Linked DNA regions of Arabidopsis thaliana. The protein of the gene in region 1 interacts with the protein of each later gene in a pairwise test. Each region holds a gene or a part of one and is shown in the gene's direction. Other genes may lie near its edges. The genes, in order: AT5G52650 and CUC3.

Evidence for each region.
Region 2: the proteins of AT5G52650 (region 1) and CUC3 interact in binary tests that used the Arabidopsis thaliana proteins (3 or more experiments, as listed by UniProt).

The regions. Positions count from the first base shown.
Region 1 is NC_003076.8:21,354,928-21,359,205, reverse strand, and holds AT5G52650 (RNA binding Plectin/S10 domain-containing protein), read left to right. Parts: upstream 1-1,986; 5' UTR 1,987-2,202; coding exon 2,203-2,205; intron 2,206-2,319; coding exon 2,320-2,368; intron 2,369-2,566; coding exon 2,567-2,846; intron 2,847-2,940; coding exon 2,941-3,073; intron 3,074-3,350; coding exon 3,351-3,425; 3' UTR 3,426-3,665; downstream 3,666-4,278. Other genes in the region: AT5G52655 (uncharacterized protein), read right to left, coding at 981-1,144, 1,233-1,314, 1,398-1,400; HSP90.1 (heat shock-like protein), read right to left, coding at 4,059-4,278.
Region 2 is NC_003070.9:28,671,118-28,675,951, reverse strand, and holds CUC3 (NAC (No Apical Meristem) domain transcriptional regulator superfamily protein), read left to right. Parts: upstream 1-1,906; 5' UTR 1,907-2,116; coding exon 2,117-2,321; intron 2,322-2,453; coding exon 2,454-2,728; intron 2,729-3,398; coding exon 3,399-3,923; 3' UTR 3,924-4,146; downstream 4,147-4,834. UniProt on the Arabidopsis thaliana protein: Transcription activator. Involved in molecular mechanisms regulating shoot apical meristem (SAM) formation during embryogenesis and organ separation. Required for axillary meristem initiation and separation of the meristem from the main stem.

The DNA.
Region 1 (4,278 bases):
TTTAAACATATGTATCAGTCTCTTTGATGGGAGACCAAAATCTCTTAATAGAGTTGTCTTTGCTTTCGTTTTCATTCGTTTATAGAGGAAGAAATAAGGTGACTGTGACCATTTGTATAACAATATGGATAAACTATTTTTAGTGGCATACTCTCGACTATAAGAAAAGATGCATCCAAGGAATATCAAATCTTCTTGATCAAAAGGTTATAACTTATAAAGAATGGACTAATATATATTTTAATTTGATCATATCTTAAGACTTACACCAAATCCAATTATTTTTTTTATAGAATATGAAAACATAAATAAACATCATTACTTGCCTCAGAAAAATAAAAGTAAAAAATAAAAATAAACATCATTATTAGAGATCATAAAAAAAATAATTTGCAGGGTATTCAGTGTGATCAATGATTTCGACAGATTTCAAGATCAATAATTTGTAGTTGGCTTCATTTGTTTGTAAACACATTTTGGAGGTGGTGATAAAACACATTCTTAGTGATGAAATAGATAAATACATTTCTAAATAGATGTAAATCAAATGATGGTTTGACTGGTTTGCATATAAAACATTTTCTAGAAGAAGTTATTAATCATATTTTAAACAAGAATTGTAATCATATACCATTCCCTCTCTCAAATTTGTTTTGAGCTTTTGTTAAAGTATGTATCTGTCTCTTTGATGGGAGACCAAATCAAATCTCATAATAGCGTTGTATGCTTTCGTTTTAATTCGTTTATAGAGGAAGAAATAAGGTGACAGTGTAGACCAATATGGTTAAGCTATTTTTAGTGGCATACTCTCGACTATGCATCCAAGGAAAATCAATCTTCTTGAACAAAAAGTTTATAACTTACAACTTATAAGAATGGACTAATATATCTTAAGACTTACACCAAATCCAATTACTTTGATAGAATATGAAAACATAAATGAACATCATTATTTGCCCAAAGAAAAATAAACATCATTATTAGAAATCATAGAAAAAATAATCCGGAGGGTATTTGGTGTGATCAATGATTTCGACAGATTTTAAAACCTTTTTTATTTTCTCCAGTAACTTATCTTGATCAATATTTTCTCCCTTCACTGCAAATACGTCGTCCATGATACCACAACTTATGACATCAACTCCTAATATAATAATAAAAAGATGACAATCATTCACATTGTTCAAAATTCGTTTGTTGAATATAATTGTTGGGTGTGTGTAGGTTTGTACCTGGAAAACCACCTGCAATTTTGAATCCTTTTCGCCATTTTTTTTCGGGATATCCTGGATGCTTGAATACAATCGTCATCGACTACAAACAATGAAATAAAACTAAAGCTTTAGTGAATTTATTATATAACCACATAAATAGGTTTACTAAGAAAAATAACTAACCATTTTTTGAAAAACTCAAAAGTTTGGAAGGAGAAGAGAAGATGATGGACAAGAATGTGATTACAAACTCGCTTGCTCATCAACCTCTATATATATTACTGAAAATTGATTTTTTTTGTTAAATAATCTATAAAAGTACATTTATCTCTCAATTTCACAATCTCTTTCGACATATGTCACAATTTCTCATAACAAATTTTTGACACAAAAATAGATTTATCTTCTTTTTTTTTTTGTTGAAACAACACAAAAATACATTTATCTCTCAAAGATTTTTTTGTTACAATATGGAGCAAATAAATTAATTAAACTGGAAATTATTTTAACAAGATAATATATGTAATTAATAAAAATATATGTTAATTTATAGAATTAACTAATCTGATAAAAATATATAAAGTAATCAAAGTTATAGTAAAAAAAAAAAAAAAATCAAAGTTATAGTAAATAATATTTAAACGTATGTCACAAAATTTACAAGATATAAACTTTTCAAAAAAGAGAGGATAAACCATCGTAAATATAAATACAACGAGTGTAAGTATTGGTTAATAAAATATTAAATATAGTTATCATCAAATAATTTGATAAACCCCCAATTCTTAATTCAATTCGACAAGATCATTTTGAGTTTCTCAGTCTCCGATACTGCCCAAACTTAAGGCCCATATTTAATGAACTCATTATAGGCCCAAAACAAAGCATATAAAGTCATCGTCTTCTCTAGTCCTGCGAAAACCCTAGTTTTTTGCTCTCTCGAAGTTCCGTGCGACTCTCTGCTCGAGCAAGATCTCCTACCGATACAATGGTAACACACAAGCTCTGCTTTTGATCTATTTCTCTATTCTCATCATATTCTCCGGTGTCTCAGAATGTTGTTTCGTTGAATTTTGACCATTTTCTTCTTCCTTCTTGCTCTCAGATTATCTCAGAGGCTAACCGCAAAGAAATCTGCAAGTACCTCTTCAAAGGTTCGTTCTTCTTAAATTTGTTCTTAGATCTCTGTTTTCTTCAGCTTCTGTGAGTAAATTGATTCATTTTTAGGCTTATGCCGATGAACATTGTGATTTTTGAACTAGTTTAGGTTAACTAGTTATGGTAGCAATTATGATGTTTGGCTTAGAAGGTGAACATTGTGTTGATTATCATATGTTCTATGATTTTTGCAGAAGGAGTTTGCTTTGCGAAGAAGGATTTCAATCTTGCTAAGCATCCGTTGATCGATGTCCCCAACCTACAAGTGATTAAGCTTATGCAGAGTTTCAAATCCAAGGAGTATGTTAGGGAGACATTTGCCTGGATGCATTACTATTGGTTTTTGACCAATGAAGGGATCGAGTTCTTGAGAACTTATCTTAATCTTCCATCTGATGTTGTTCCTGCTACTTTGAAGAAGTCAGCTAAGCCTGGTGGTCGTCCATTTGGTGGCCCACCTGGTGATCGCTCAAGGTGATTAACTCTTTGCTTAACCCATTTCATGTCTGGCAAAAACTTTTTTTTTTTTTAATTTGTTTGACATGGTTTGGGTTTCTTTGTATTTCAGAGGACCTCGCCATGAAGGAGGAGACCGTCCCAGGTTTGGTGACCGTGATGGGTACCGTGCAGGTCCTCGAGCTGGTGGTGAGTTTGGAGGTGAAAAGGGTGGAGCTCCCGCAGATTACCAGCCATCTTTCCAAGTAAATTCTCACTGACCATACCTTCTATTTACTTCTCTATCTCACCAACGTCATATAATGTGCTACTCTTGAAGTCTTTATCATAGAGCTCCTGAACCTGAGAAACCATGAACATATTTAGTCTCTCTTTATCACTTTAGTTACAAGGAACATAAATCTTTTACTTTAGCTGTGAAGTGTTTCAAAGTCTATAGTTATATAATTGCCTTGTGATTTGATTTACCCGCCTTCTCTTTGTTTGGTTGCCATTGTTCTAACATCCTTTCTTGTTTATCAGGGAAGTGGCCGTGGTTTTGGCCGTGGTGCTGGTGGCTACAGCGCAGCTGCACCATCTGGTTCAGGTTTGCCTTGAAAAAGAAATGTCTTTAGGTGACAGTAAGACCATGGAGGAGTTTTCAGCTTTAAATTTTGCTTTTGTAATTCAGATTCCGGAATCCTTCATAATCTCTATCTGAGTTTAGTTTTGTTGTTGAATCAAACATCCGATTTAAAGTTATGTTCATTCCATCTTCTCTCCCCTTTTCGAGCATGCGAGAATATGATTCCCCCTATTGAACAAATCAATCAACCTTTAAGCGATAACAAATTGGTGTTGTGAAAATTATTAACTTCTTGATCTCGTTTTGTCAGATCTAAAATTACTATAGCCAAGCTACCTTTCACGTCAAGTTGTCACTCCTATCTATTCCAGTGATCTTAGGAAGTCTATCTTTTGGAAGTCAAGTTTTACTCTAGGGAACCAAAAGATTTGTTCAGAAACAAGAAAAGTTCCTTAGCTGAATAACAAAAACTTGAATCAGTATTAGACAGACCCACCACACGATATAACAGACCTGACACAAACCCAACCCTAGAAGTAGTCACAATGTTCAAGTAACTCTAAAGATATAAAAAAAAAGACAAAGACATTTTGGAAAATCTTAAAACTCAGAACAACTCGACATATTAGAAGTTTTCAGAACCATAAGAGCAATTTCTTCATCTCTTAGTCGACTTCCTCCATCTTGCTCTCTTCAGCAGCGTCCTCCTCCAACTCAGGCATATCACCATCTTCCTCAACGTTCTCATCCTCATCAATACTCAGACCCAACTTCAACATCCTGTGAATCCTAGCAGCAAAAGTGTTCGGTTCATCAAGACTGAATCCAGACGTCAACAAAGCTGTCTCATACAGCAACATGACAAGATCTTTAACAGACTTGTCA
Region 2 (4,834 bases), on another chromosome or scaffold:
GGCAATAATTAAACTGAAATAGAAAAAAATAACAATTTTGAAAAGGATAAAAAAAGAGAGTCACAGAAATATTATCAGAGCTATAAAGATTATAGATCCCCTGACGAAAAATAATTTAGATTGTAAATAGTACAGAAACTATATATAATAAGCATTTAATAATGGATAGGCTTAGGTAAGCCTATGCAAGTACAGCAGGTTTTGAATTATTGGATGAAACATTTGTTTCAAATATTAGATTTTAATTTTTATAAATCTATTTGTGTAATACTTATATATATATATATATTTAAAAATGAATATTATAGGGTTGTGTAGGGGTTAGGGTAAAAGAATGACTTGGGAGATTTAACATAAGATCGTGTGGGCAGTTAATATTTAGTGAGATAGATAGATAGTGTAGTACGTTTGCATTTATTATCTTTTTACCTGATTCTTTTGTATCATTCTACACACACGTGCCACCGCCGACACCTGCTATCTTTCTACTGTTTCATTTTAATTTTTATCTTACATTTTTGTCAAACATTTAATATCGACAATATGAATTAAAAGTTTTTGTTTCCAATTATTTTTCTCACAATAATTTTTTAAATAGTTGTGTTGAGACACTTGACGAAACTCATGCTTTATGTATTGTTGGTTTACTATAAACCGAACATGTTTGCTTCGTTTTTTTTTTTTTTGAAAAAATGATAGTAAAAATATGTGTCAAAACCGAAACACAAACAACCTTATATTCCATTTTTTATTATGAGGAAGAGTATAGAATCAACCGAACCAACAAAAGAAACAAAGTGTAATACACAGAATTGAGTTAACCGTTGGAGAAAGTGGTTAAAGGAAAAATAAGGAAACGATCGAAAGGAATTGGTATATATCTGAGGGGAGAATGTGTATAAAATAAAAGAAAAAAAGGTCTGACTCATGAATGTATAATGATATGCTTACACCCGCACGCATAAACCTCTGCCATCTTTTTACTGCACACTCTTTTCCTTTTCTCTTCTTTAAAGTCAATTTTATTTGCTGATAACCACAAAATGTAGCAATTTTAGATTACATTATTTGTTTCACATTTCTTGAAATCTGAAAACTTTTAACTGCGACTGCAATTGTTTTGGTTGAGAAATCGATCGACTTGGAGTATGAGATTACCTTCTTATCAGTGTCTTTAGTATAACGGTTGCATTGCATATATATTTCCTCTCAAACTTTAATGATATCAGTTCAACTAGTCTGGATCAAATGTAATATTGATACTTTCCTTGAAAACACATTATTTGGTGCGTGGGAAGAATGATCTTAAAGAGATGATAAAGGGCACTAGAGTTTTGGTTTTCTTTGTAAAATAGTGTATTTATGCAAAACTCAACATTATATGGATGTTTGCATTATGGTATTTTTCAACTAATATACACCCAAAACAGTATCCTTATTAAACAGCTCTCTCTCTCGTTTTGTTCAAACTAACAAGAGAAAAATGTCAGCTTTTGTTGAAAAATAGATAAAAATTATGACATAAAACCCAAAACCAAAACGTCAACACCATTTATCATAAATTACATTTGTAGTTAGCTAAAGTACAAAAACAACACTGTAAATGATCCATTGACCAATCGAGTAGTCATTAACGAAAGATCACAACTTAACATCACCCAGTCTAATCAAAACTCCAAGACCATAAGAATTTTGCTAAAGCAGCAGTATAGTGATAAACACACAAAACGGGAAAAGTTGTTTTACAATTTAGAATGTCATATACTTTAATTATTATTTGCATAGGGAAAAATAGAAAGAGACTCACTCCCCAGGTGAGGGCAAATAGAAGCCCCTGCTCCCTGAATTTCACAGCCTTTATCATCAATGCTCCTCTAACCTCAAACACTCAAAATCCACACATCTATACACATACCTCTACATACACACTCCATTTTCTCTCTCTATCTCTATTATATCTTCGATTTATGTGCCATTTTGGTATATAAATATATAATCTTGCACACAATAAGGTTATACTTCCCATCACCTTTTGTATCATTGCTATCTTTGTTCTTCCTTCTGGTGTCTCTTCAGTGTAACAAAAAGTCTCTTTTTCAGTTATATTAAGTAAAAGATGATGCTTGCGGTGGAAGATGTGTTAAGCGAACTCGCCGGAGAAGAAAGGAACGAGAGAGGATTGCCACCTGGCTTCCGGTTTCACCCGACGGACGAAGAGCTCATTACCTTCTACTTAGCTTCCAAAATCTTCCATGGTGGTCTCTCCGGCATTCACATTTCCGAAGTTGATCTCAACCGCTGTGAACCTTGGGAGCTACCAGGTAATATATTATACATTTTGTCTCTTCTTTACCTCATAAGTTTTATTTTGGAATCTTGTTTTTAGTTGAATATTTTGATAAATCTTTTAACAAGAAAAAAGTGTAACGTTTTGAAATTGTTGTTATATGAAGAAATGGCGAAGATGGGAGAGAGAGAGTGGTACTTTTATAGTCTAAGGGACAGGAAATATCCGACAGGTTTGAGGACTAACAGAGCAACTACTGCTGGATACTGGAAAGCTACCGGCAAAGATAAGGAAGTCTTCTCCGGCGGAGGAGGACAGCTTGTTGGGATGAAGAAGACGTTGGTGTTCTACAAAGGTAGGGCTCCACGTGGCCTCAAGACTAAGTGGGTCATGCATGAGTATCGCCTCGAAAACGACCATTCACACCGCCACACGTGTAAGGTAAATTAACACTCTTTTACTCTCACTCGTGCGTCTCACTCTCACTCGTGCATCTCTTTCTTTAAAAAAATTTGTATTTTTTCTCTTGTCAATTTATGAGTTGACTTTTTGAAACCAAAAATTTTATACTACTAGTGTGTGAAACTAGTAATTTAAACCCTGTTACTTTTATTCCCACACGTCCATTTCTTATAACATTAAATTCTTTTTAACTTTGCGAATGTAATAGAAATTTGATGTTTTTGTTCTCCATTAATGTGTTAACTTTTTAAATCCACAAGTTGAAAAGAAAGGTTTAACGAAATATTTAACTTTTTTTTTCCCATTTCATGTGTTTTGTTTCAATAGTATTGTCACTATGTTGTTTGGCTTAGTATGGGGAGGACAGGGGAGAGAGCAGTTTAGATGTGATAGATTTGATATAAACCTGTACGTGTGGTGTGGATGTCAACACCAAACACACCTTGCCGTTTTCTGTTCACCGATACACTGTTGTGTCGTTTTCCATCACTATTGCTTTCTTTTGTATCCCACCTTTCTAATTACATTTATCATTATCAGAAATCAATTTGTCAGGCTCACATTTCAAACAAGATCTTAAGGTGTAGGCATTATATAATGTGTAATAACATGTTTTGGTTTTTCATTTCTTTTTGGTGGAAATTCACAGGAGGAATGGGTGATTTGCAGAGTGTTCAATAAAACAGGAGACAGAAAAAATGTTGGATTAATCCATAACCAAATCAGCTACCTTCATAACCATTCACTCTCAACAACACATCATCATCATCATGAAGCCTTACCTTTGCTTATAGAACCTTCCAACAAAACCCTAACCAACTTCCCATCACTACTCTACGATGATCCACACCAAAACTACAATAATAACAACTTCCTTCATGGATCATCAGGCCACAACATCGACGAGCTCAAAGCCTTAATCAACCCTGTCGTCTCTCAGCTCAACGGTATCATCTTTCCTTCAGGGAACAACAACAACGACGAAGACGACTTCGACTTTAACCTCGGCGTGAAAACAGAGCAGTCTTCGAACGGTAACGAAATTGACGTACGAGATTACTTGGAGAACCCTCTGTTTCAGGAAGCGAGTTATGGTCTGTTGGGTTTTTCGTCTTCTCCTGGACCTCTTCACATGCTACTAGATTCTCCATGTCCTTTAGGATTCCAGCTGTAGAATCTTGGCCCTTGGATTTTATATTTGGTCTTTTCTTATTTTCACCTTCTGTAAAATACAAATTATATAAATTATTATTCCTAAGATCCAAAATCTTTTGTCGAACAAATTTCTTAAAAGTTATGTGGCTGATTGCTGTAGCCTTGCAGGTAAAAGCTATTATTGTGTTACAACTTTTGATGAACTGTATTTTGTGGGCGTTTCACTATTCGATGTGATCTCATAAATACCAATAATATTTGCAACTATTCTGACGTCATTCTTGTTTATTTATTCTTTTTTGCTTTTGATAGACTATCCCTCATATTCATTTTTTTTTGTTTCTTGTTTTGAAGATTTTTTTTTTTTGTATGAATTGTGTTCATAATTTTGGGACTGCAAAAATGACATTTTCTGTTACAATGCTAAATTGGACCGGTTAAGCGGGCTACAATGTCTTTGTCAGTTTGGTTTACCTGCTTTAGCAAGTTTGGTCATAGTTTCGGACTATGAAGCCCATCACCAGCGAGGCCCAGAAGTTGACTTTAACTAAATATTAAACACCAGCGAGGCCCGCTGATAAAATAATATATAACGAATTATGAAAACTAATTTAAGTTTGAAAATAGATGGTAAACGCCTAAACGAGTAACAATTGTTATGTGGTCTTATTCTTGATATATGAATGATCGATAAATCAAGATTTTCAGCTTTAAAATATAATATAAATTCATGATGCATTCACATATAAATTCCCTAACATAAAATACTTAGTTTATTAGATATGTAGTCTTATTCAAGCGTGAAAGTTCTAAAAGAAATTGGTTTCTGCTCGTCAAATTTGAATTTGAACATTACGTTGCCTTCAGATATTGTCAACCGATGATGATTTTTATTTAACTGTAACACCACTACCTAGGTAATAAAGCATT